Regions from separate parts of the Mus musculus genome. Here region 2 is reported to be linked to region 1. The links are microRNA targets in miRTarBase. Many come from high-throughput screens and were not tested one by one. Region 1 holds a microRNA gene; the other region holds the end of a gene's coding sequence.
Evidence for each region. Region 1 holds the annotated microRNA mmu-miR-1195 (UGAGUUCGAGGCCAGCCUGCUCA, at 2,843-2,865, shown strand). A microRNA usually pairs through its seed, bases 2 to 8, with sites in the 3' UTR of a target mRNA and lowers its output. Matches are read on the target gene's strand: a 7mer-m8 pairs with bases 2 to 8, a 7mer-A1 pairs with bases 2 to 7 and ends in A, and an 8mer does both.

Region 1 (4,150 bases):
TTTTTTTTGGCAATTGTCCTTTTTTAAAGATTTATTTATTTATCTTATGTGAGTACACTGTAGCTGTACAGATGGTGGTGAGCCTTCATGTGGTTGTTGGGAATTGAATTTTTAGGACCTCTGCTCGCCCAAAGATTTATTATACGTATGTACGCTGTACCTGTCTTCAGACACACCGGAAGAGGGCATCAGATCTCATCACGGATGGTTGTGAGCCACCAGATAGTTGCTGGGATTTGAACTCAGGACCTTCAGAAGAGCAGTCAGTGAGAATTTTAAGGGTCGAAGCCTCAGGACCTGGCAGCCCTAACAAGCTAGGTGTGGTCAGCTGTCCACCGTCACACAAGGGAAGGGAAGAAACCAAAAGCAGAGAAAGGATGTTTATTCAAAATGGCCACACTGGGGAAAGGAGCAAGCAACAATACCCAGTTCACCTTCTTACCCACTGAGCCACCCCGTCAGCCCGACCCTTGAGATTCTTGTAACAGTAATATATAACTGTAAAACTAAGTAAGACTTCTATAACCTGATATTAAAAGCATTTTCAATTACATAATCATTATATATTTATATTATACATAATATTATACATAATATAAATATTATAACTGCCAGAAATAGAGCCCTAAACACATACCCAGAATATAGAACACACAGGTTTTGTTTTAATTGTTGTTTTTAGGACAAGATCTCATAGAGCCTAGGCTGGGCTCCAAACCTCTGTGTAGCTAAGTAAAACCTTGAATTCATAATCCTCCTGCCTCCAGCAGTGACTACAAGGTGGGCAGAATCTGTGGGTTTGACTGGTGTCTGGGTGAACTTTTCACTTAGTACGGATTTCTGCTAAATGTACAAGTGCAAGAAAAAAAATTGTAGAGTCAGAAGAATGAGAGGCACAGTGTGGGACACAATGAAAAACACTCAGATGGGGGCTGGAGAGATGGCTCAGTGGTTAAGAGCACTGGCTGCTCTTCCAGAGGTCCCTCGTTCAATTCCCAGCACCCACATGGTGGCTCACAACCATCTGTCATGGAATCTGATGCCCTCTTCTGGTGTGTCTGAAGACAGCAACCCTGTACTCACATACATAAAATAAATAAATCTTTAAAACAAACAAACAAACAGAAAATCACCTAGATGTATTTCAAGAGAGCGCCAGTCAGTTGAAGAGTGTGGAAGGCAGAATTACTTGAAGTAGGGATGTTTTGTCTTTAAACCCCCAGACCAAAGGGAGGAAGCAAACAGGAGTTAGTTACCAGTGGCAGGTAGGGCTGTTCTAGCTTGCTATCTAGGACTAAGTACTCATTACCCTGAGGTAATGGGACTAAGTACTCATTACCCTGAGGTAATGGAAAGCAGGTTGCTTGTGGTTAGAAAAGAGGGCGCAGATATGAGAGGCGGGGAATGGAAGGCAGTGCTGTGTTTGCTGAAATTGGAAGCACAAAATAATGTGGGCCCCTCCTTTCCTCCACTACACCCCATCACACACATACTCTTGTTTTCACATATACTCTTACCTAGGTAGCCCAGAGTGGCCTCAAATTCCAAATTCCCATGCCTATCTCCTAAGTATCAGAAGTATAAATATATAGCTGTTAACCATTGTACCCTGCTTGAATTCATGATTTCCAACATATGAAGGTGTGTGTGTGTGTGTGTGTGTGTGTGTGTGTGTGTGTGTGTGTGTTTAGTTCTGCTGAGAAACCCAGAAGTAAGCAATCATGGTTCAGTAGCAGTGCACTAGACTGGAGCTCATGTTGATGTCTATAAGTGATTCTCTTTTCTACAAGAATAGCCAGCACTTGCTGGAAAAATGATCAGTCCAGGGCTTGGGGACTGGAGCAGGGGAAGTGTAGCATGCACCTGAGACACGCCACTGTCCCAGACGGTAAGAAAATCTTCCAAGAATGGTACAAGAGGACAAGGAAACCGGTTTGGGGACTATTGGTGCTGGCTGCTGCTGGGGCAGGGACAGTCACTGCCTTCAATTGTGTGTTCACTGGGTGAGTCTACCAACTTCAGCGAATGCTTCTATACCCAGTGGCACGTGAACCACTGTGGTTAGACTCAAGGGGTGCAAAACAAGAAGGCATGAAGGGGCTCGAGGGTTGTGCAGAGGTTAAGAGCACCTGTTATTCTTGTAGAGAACCCACATGGGGCTCACAACCATCCAAACTGCAATTCCAAGCATCCAATGCCCTTTTCTGGCCTCTGCAGGTAGCAGGCACACATGGGGCACATGAGTACATTCAGGCAAAACATGTAATATTAAAAAAGAGAGAGAGAGAGACATGAACATGTCAGAGGGACTGGAGGGGAAGATGAGAAGACAGGGAGAATAATCAGAATGCACTGTGTATATATCAAATTGTCAAAGAATAAATTAATAAAAAAACAGTTTGAGGAACTTCCTCTGGGTAAATCCAAGAATTTTTACAATAGTGGTGGTGATGATGATAATAATAATAAGAGGCTATTAATGCACTAAATAAACCAGGACTCCAAATGTCCTGTAAGTAGACAGAGCAGCACAGACAACTGGAGGGGCAGCTCTCCCTACCATAGGACACAGCAAAGCAATGGAGAAGGAATGATGGAGTGAGGAGGCTGAGATTGAAGGCTTCAAAGACAGGACATTCACCTATTTTGATACATTTGATAGATTTATCAACCATAAAGGAAAACATAATGCCCACAGTGGAGAGTTTGGGACACATCACCTTAAACATGAGATCAAGGTTATAAATAAATAAATAAATAAATAAATCTGCCAGGCAGCCGGGCTGTGGTGGCGCTCGCCTTTAATCCCAGCACTTGGGAGGTAGAGGCAGGCAGATCTCTGTGAGTTCGAGGCCAGCCTGCTCAACAGAATGAGTTCTAGGGCAGCCAGGAACACACAGAGAAACCCTGTCTCAAGAAGGTAAAAAGTAAAAAAAAAAAAAAAAAGAAAAAGTAAAAAAGAAGAAGAAAAAAGAAAAGAGAGAGAGAACAGTCTACATTCTGAGGGGAAGCTGTAGTAGCTACACAGTATTGAACACCACACACAAGGCTTATACACACGACACAGTCAAGCCTGCATTATTTGTAGAAATTTAAAATGTCAAGCTAAAAACTTGTTTCTATTCATGAGCACAATGTTAATTTCTTGCCATTTAATGAAGATGCCCTCTTGAGATGGACAGACGGCAGGACAGTCTAAAGCACTGGCCTTGATTGGGTGCACAAGCCTGACTGAGCTCAGTTTGATCCCCAGCACCCACTCGAGTACAAGGGTGTGCCACGGTAACCCAGTGCTCTCAGAAAGAGATGGAGAGTGGAGACGGAGAATCAGCAGAGCTTGCGGACCACCTAGGCCAGAGCACTACTCAGTGAGAAGCAACAGAAGAGACTCCATCCCCCAAAAAAGGTGCAGAGAGAAAACAGACTCCTAAAAGCTGTCCCCTGACCTCCACATGCCTGAAGGACACCTCCCATATCTCTGTGTGTGTGTTTTACAGAAAAAGGAAGGAAGGAAGGAAGGAAGGAAGGAAAAAATATAAAGGTTTTTGTCTTTTTGCCCATGGTCACTTGAATCATGAGACAAAATAAAATTTTCTTCCCTTAAATTGCTTTTTGTGGAGCCTTTGGTTACAATAACTATCCAATTCCAACCACAGGAGGAAAAAAAAATGTGTGAAGATTCGAGTGTATTTCATCAATCAAACAACACAGAACAAACTGAGCACATAGTGTGTCGGGTGCCAGCAGAAAGAATAGAAACGCACATTGAAGAGTAAGCCTGCCGGGCGGTGTTGGCACATGCCTTTAATCCCAGCACTCGGGAGGCAGAGGCAGGCAGATTTCTGAGTTCGAGGCCAGCCTGGTCTGCAGAGTGAGTTCCAGGACAGCCAGGGCTACACAGAGAAACCCTGTCTCGGAAAACCAAAAAAAAAAAAAAAAAAAAGAGTAAGCCTGCTGGAGCAATTTTTTATCTCTTTATTAACCTAAATAATGGGTTATTAGAACTAAAAGCATTAAAGTGCCAACTAGAGATGAAAAGTAATTGTTCTCTCTGGAGAAACATTTAGCCTTAGAAGCAGAAAACAGCAAAAGACAATGGGGTGTATAATTCTGGGGTGACCAGACCTGCCTCTGCCTCCCAAGTGCTGAG
Region 2 (4,000 bases), not on the chromosome of region 1:
TTTTGATTGCTTCTGTTTATGTGTACTCCATGTGTGCTTGATGCCTGCAGAGGCCAGAAGAGGGCGCCAGATTCTTTGGAACTAGAGTTACAGGTGGTTGTTAGATGCCACATACTGCTGAAAAGCCAGTCTGGTCCTCTGGAAGAGCAGCCACGGTTCTTAACTGCTGAGTCATCTCTCTAGCCCCAAAGACAAAGGGCCGCATGCCTTTAATCCTTGAAGAAGCAGGGTGATCTCTGTGAGTGCAGAGCCAGTCCTATCTATACAAAGAGTTCTAGGGTAGCCCGAAGTACATAGTGACCCTGTCTGTGAGAGAGACAGAACAGAGGAGAGAGAGAGAGAGAGAGAGAGAGAGAGAGAGAGAGAGAGAGAGAGAGAGAGAGAGAGAGAGAGAGAGAGAGAGAGAGAGAGAGAGATTTGACCAGGACTCGTGTGTCGATTTGAAGGAAGCGAACTAACCTGTAAAGTGGGCTTACAGGGGAAAGGAGTGTGGCTAGATGTTTGGGAGGGGCCAGAAGAGGCGGAGGTTTTTTTTGGATGGGCTTTCTTGCATTGTACCGTAGCCAGAAAAAGAGAAGGCACGGTCAAGCAGAACTGAGCAGAACTCTAGTTCTGCTTTGATAAACGGGTTGTAGGGAAAGGGGAAATGCTAGAAAGAGGTAGGAGGTTACTGCCTAGTCTAGAACCGGGGTGGGGTGGGGGTGGGGGTGATCCAGAGCTCCGAAGTTAAGGAAAGACAAATAAATACCTTTTGGTATTTGTCCTCCAGCAAGAAGCGGAGCTCTCTCTTTCGGAAGATCACAAAGCAGTCGAACCTGCTGCACACCAGTCGATCGCTGTCCTCTTTGAACCGGTCCTTGTCGTCCAGCGACAGTCTTCCGGGCTCGCCCACGCACGGACTACCCGCACGCTCGCCCACACATAGCTATCGCTCTACACCTGACTCCGCCTACCTAGGTATGTTCTGCGCCTGCGCGGGGTAGGGGACTAGGACACTGAGGTGCTCAGAATGTTTGCACCTTCTCTGGCCTGCAGGCGCCTCGTCACAGAGTAGCTCGCCAGCTTCCAGCACGCCTAATTCCCCCGCCTCATCCGCCTCGCACCACATCAGGCCCAGCACCTTGCACGGGCTGTCACCGAAACTACACCGCCAGTACCGCTCAGCGCGCTGTAAATCGGCTGGCAACATCCCGCTGTCACCTCTAGCGCACACACCATCCCCGACGCAGGCGTCGCCGCCGCCGCTGCCAGGCCACACGGTGGGCAGCTCACATACCACGCAGAGCTTCCCTGCCAAACTACACTCATCGCCACCTGTCGTGCGCCCGCGCCCCAAAAGTGCAGAGCCACCACGCTCGCCGTTGCTCAAGCGCGTGCAGTCAGCGGAGAAACTAGGGGCTTCGCTGGGAGCAGACAAGAAGGGCGCACTGCGCAAACACAGCCTGGAAGTGGGACACCCTGATTTCCGAAAGGACTTCCATGGTGAGCTGGCCCTGCATAGCCTCGCTGAGTCTGATGGTGAGACGCCTCCTATTGAGGGTCCTGGGGCGACCCGGCAGGTCGCCGTGCGACGCCTGGGTCGCCAGGAATCACCCCTAAGCTTGGGCGCGGACCCGTTGCTACCCGATGGTGTCCAGAGACCTATGGCGTCAAGCAAGGAGGATTCCGCGGGAGGTACAGAGGCTTGCACCCCACCTCGCGCGACAACCCCTGGGAGCCGGACCCTGGAGCGTGACTCGGGTTGCACAAGGCACCAGAGCGTGCAGACTGAGGATGGCCCAGGTGGGGTGGCCAGGGCCCTGGCCAAGGCAGCGCTAAGTCCAGTGCAGGAACATGAGACAGGCCGGCGCAGTAGCTCTGGTGAGGCAGGCACACCCCCGGTGCCCATTGTTGTAGAGCCTGCTCGGCCAGGGGTCAAGACCCAGGCACCCCAGCCTCTGGGCACAGACTCCAAGGGATTGAAGGAACCTGTAGCCCAGATGCCTCTGATGCCTGATGCCCCAAGGGGCAGGGAGCGCTGGGTGCTAGAGGAGGTGGAAGAGCGGACCACGCTAAGCGGACTTCGCTCTAAGCCCGCCTCCCCCAAACTCTCTCCTGACCCCCAGACTCCAACCCTAGTCCCAACAAAGAATGTACCCCGCAGTGCAGCTCCTTCAGTCCCACCTGCTTCCCTCATGGTCCCAGGCACCAAGCCTGAAGCAGGGTTGAACTCCCGGTGTCCTGCTGAAGCTGTGACTCCTGCAGGCCTCACCAAAACTGGGGCACCTAGCCCTGCATCTCTAGGTCCATAGCGGAGCAGGCTTTCGGTGCTGTGCTGTACAGATGCCTGTATACATATGTACACATATAAATAAAGTGCCCATGCTGCCTGAGATTCTTGGGGTTCACACCTCCTCTCTGGACAGGAATGGCCCTTGGCTTCTCAGAAAGTAAGAAGGTGGCTTTCATTAGGGCCTTCCTATGTCCCATCCACTGCCAATTCCACACGTGGTAACAGCTTTTGTAAGGAAAAGGTGTCCCACCCCTGGTCTGTGTCTTGGGCTCCATCTTAAGAAAAAGGTTACCAGTGCCATGCACAGAGTTGGTTGTATTAACAACCTCTTAGAGACATGCTGTGATGCCCATTTTGCAACAGACAGCTAGAGGTTAAGGCACTGTTAAGGTCTCCAGTTAGGAAGGGACTGAACTGGTATTCAGATTCATAGCTGGGACAGGGAGTGTGGCTCAGCAGCACTGTACTTGTGTCCCATGTGGTAAGCCCTGGGTTTAACCCACCAACAGACACACAAACAAATTCAAGTCAAAACTAGTCTCTGAGTCTTTTCTTTCTTTCTTTCTTTTCTCTTTTTCTTGTTTTTCTTTTTTTTTCTTCTTCTTCTTTTCTTTGAGACAAGGGTTCTCTGTGTTGCCCTGGCTCTCCTGGAACTCTCTGTAGACCAGGCTGGCCTGGAACTCAAGAGATCCACCTGAGCCGGGCAGTGGTGGCGCATGCCTTTAATCCCAGCACTTGGGAGAAAGAGACAGAGGCAGAGGCAAGCAGATTTCTGAGTTCGAGGCCAGCCTGGTCTACAGAGTGAGTTCCAGGACAGCCAAGGCTACACAGAGAAACCCTGTCTCGAAAAACCAGAGAGAGAGAGAGAATCGATCCACCTGCCTCTGCCTCCCAAGTGCTGGGGTAAAGGCTAGTCCGGCCCCCACCTGGTTAGACTGCGGAGTCTTAGTCCTTTGCTCCGATGGGCTTCAGTCAGCTCCCCTCTATACAGGGTTTCCAGTCTTTCACCAGGGACTGGAAGGCCTTCCAAAAGGAAGGCAGTTGGGTGCATACTGTGCCGCCACCTCGGTGTGTCTCTGCTTTGTTCCTATTCATGTCACCCACACAGGCCCAGGGCCCTTGAGGGGCCACACACCATTTGGAGTGGTCCTCTGTGGCACTGAAAGTTAGTCTAGATGGGCCAGGGAATCCTGTCTGTGTCACATCCAGAACCTGATAGGCTCCAGAGCAGTTGGAGGGCAGGATGCCTGGAGAATTTTGCCAGAACTGGACCTGTAGGTTGGTGCCAAGGGCTTCTGCCAACCATCCGGAGTACAGGTCTGCAGGGGAAGGAAGGATGAGGTGAGGGCCACTGGTACATTCCTCGGTATGGCTTCCTGCTCGGCTCAAATGTCTACTTTTGGAATGACGTGAACCTAAGCAGCCCCTATTAACAGGTCAGGTCCCTCTTCAGGTCACACCTGCAGCCCTAACACTCAGAAGCTGGAACAAGAGGCTCTCAGATGGAGTCTAGCCTGGAATGTACAGAGAGGTCTTACACAAACACATAGGCTGGGCATGGAGACTCGAGCCTTTAAAGTCTGCGCTGAGACAGTAGAGGCAGATGGCTCTCTGAGAGTTCCAGACCAGCCAGGGATACACAGTGAGGGCCTGCCTCCCCACACCCCTAAAGGGAATCCTTACCAAACAATTATGTGTTATTTCACAACCCACTAAGGGAACCCTTAA

Region 2: the mRNA of Dnase2a is a reported target of mmu-miR-1195. Seed matches in the 3' UTR shown: 7mer-A1 at 3,075-3,081 and 8mer at 3,046-3,053.

The regions. Positions count from the first base shown.
Region 1 is chr17:70,859,273-70,863,422 of GRCm38, reverse strand. Mir1195 (microRNA 1195) reads left to right here and starts at 2,823; the gene lies at 2,823-2,920.
Region 2 is chr8:84,910,277-84,914,276 of GRCm38, reverse strand. Dnase2a (deoxyribonuclease II alpha) reads right to left here. Exons shown (of 6, transcript NM_010062.4): 6 at 2,574-3,591. The coding sequence ends at 3,245. Mast1 (microtubule associated serine/threonine kinase 1) reads left to right here. Exons shown (of 26, transcript NM_019945.2): 25 at 770-957; 26 at 1,036-2,424. The coding sequence ends at 2,291. It overlaps Gm38426 (predicted gene, 38426), which reads right to left and starts at 942. Exons shown (of 3, transcript NR_103491.1): 1 at 749-942.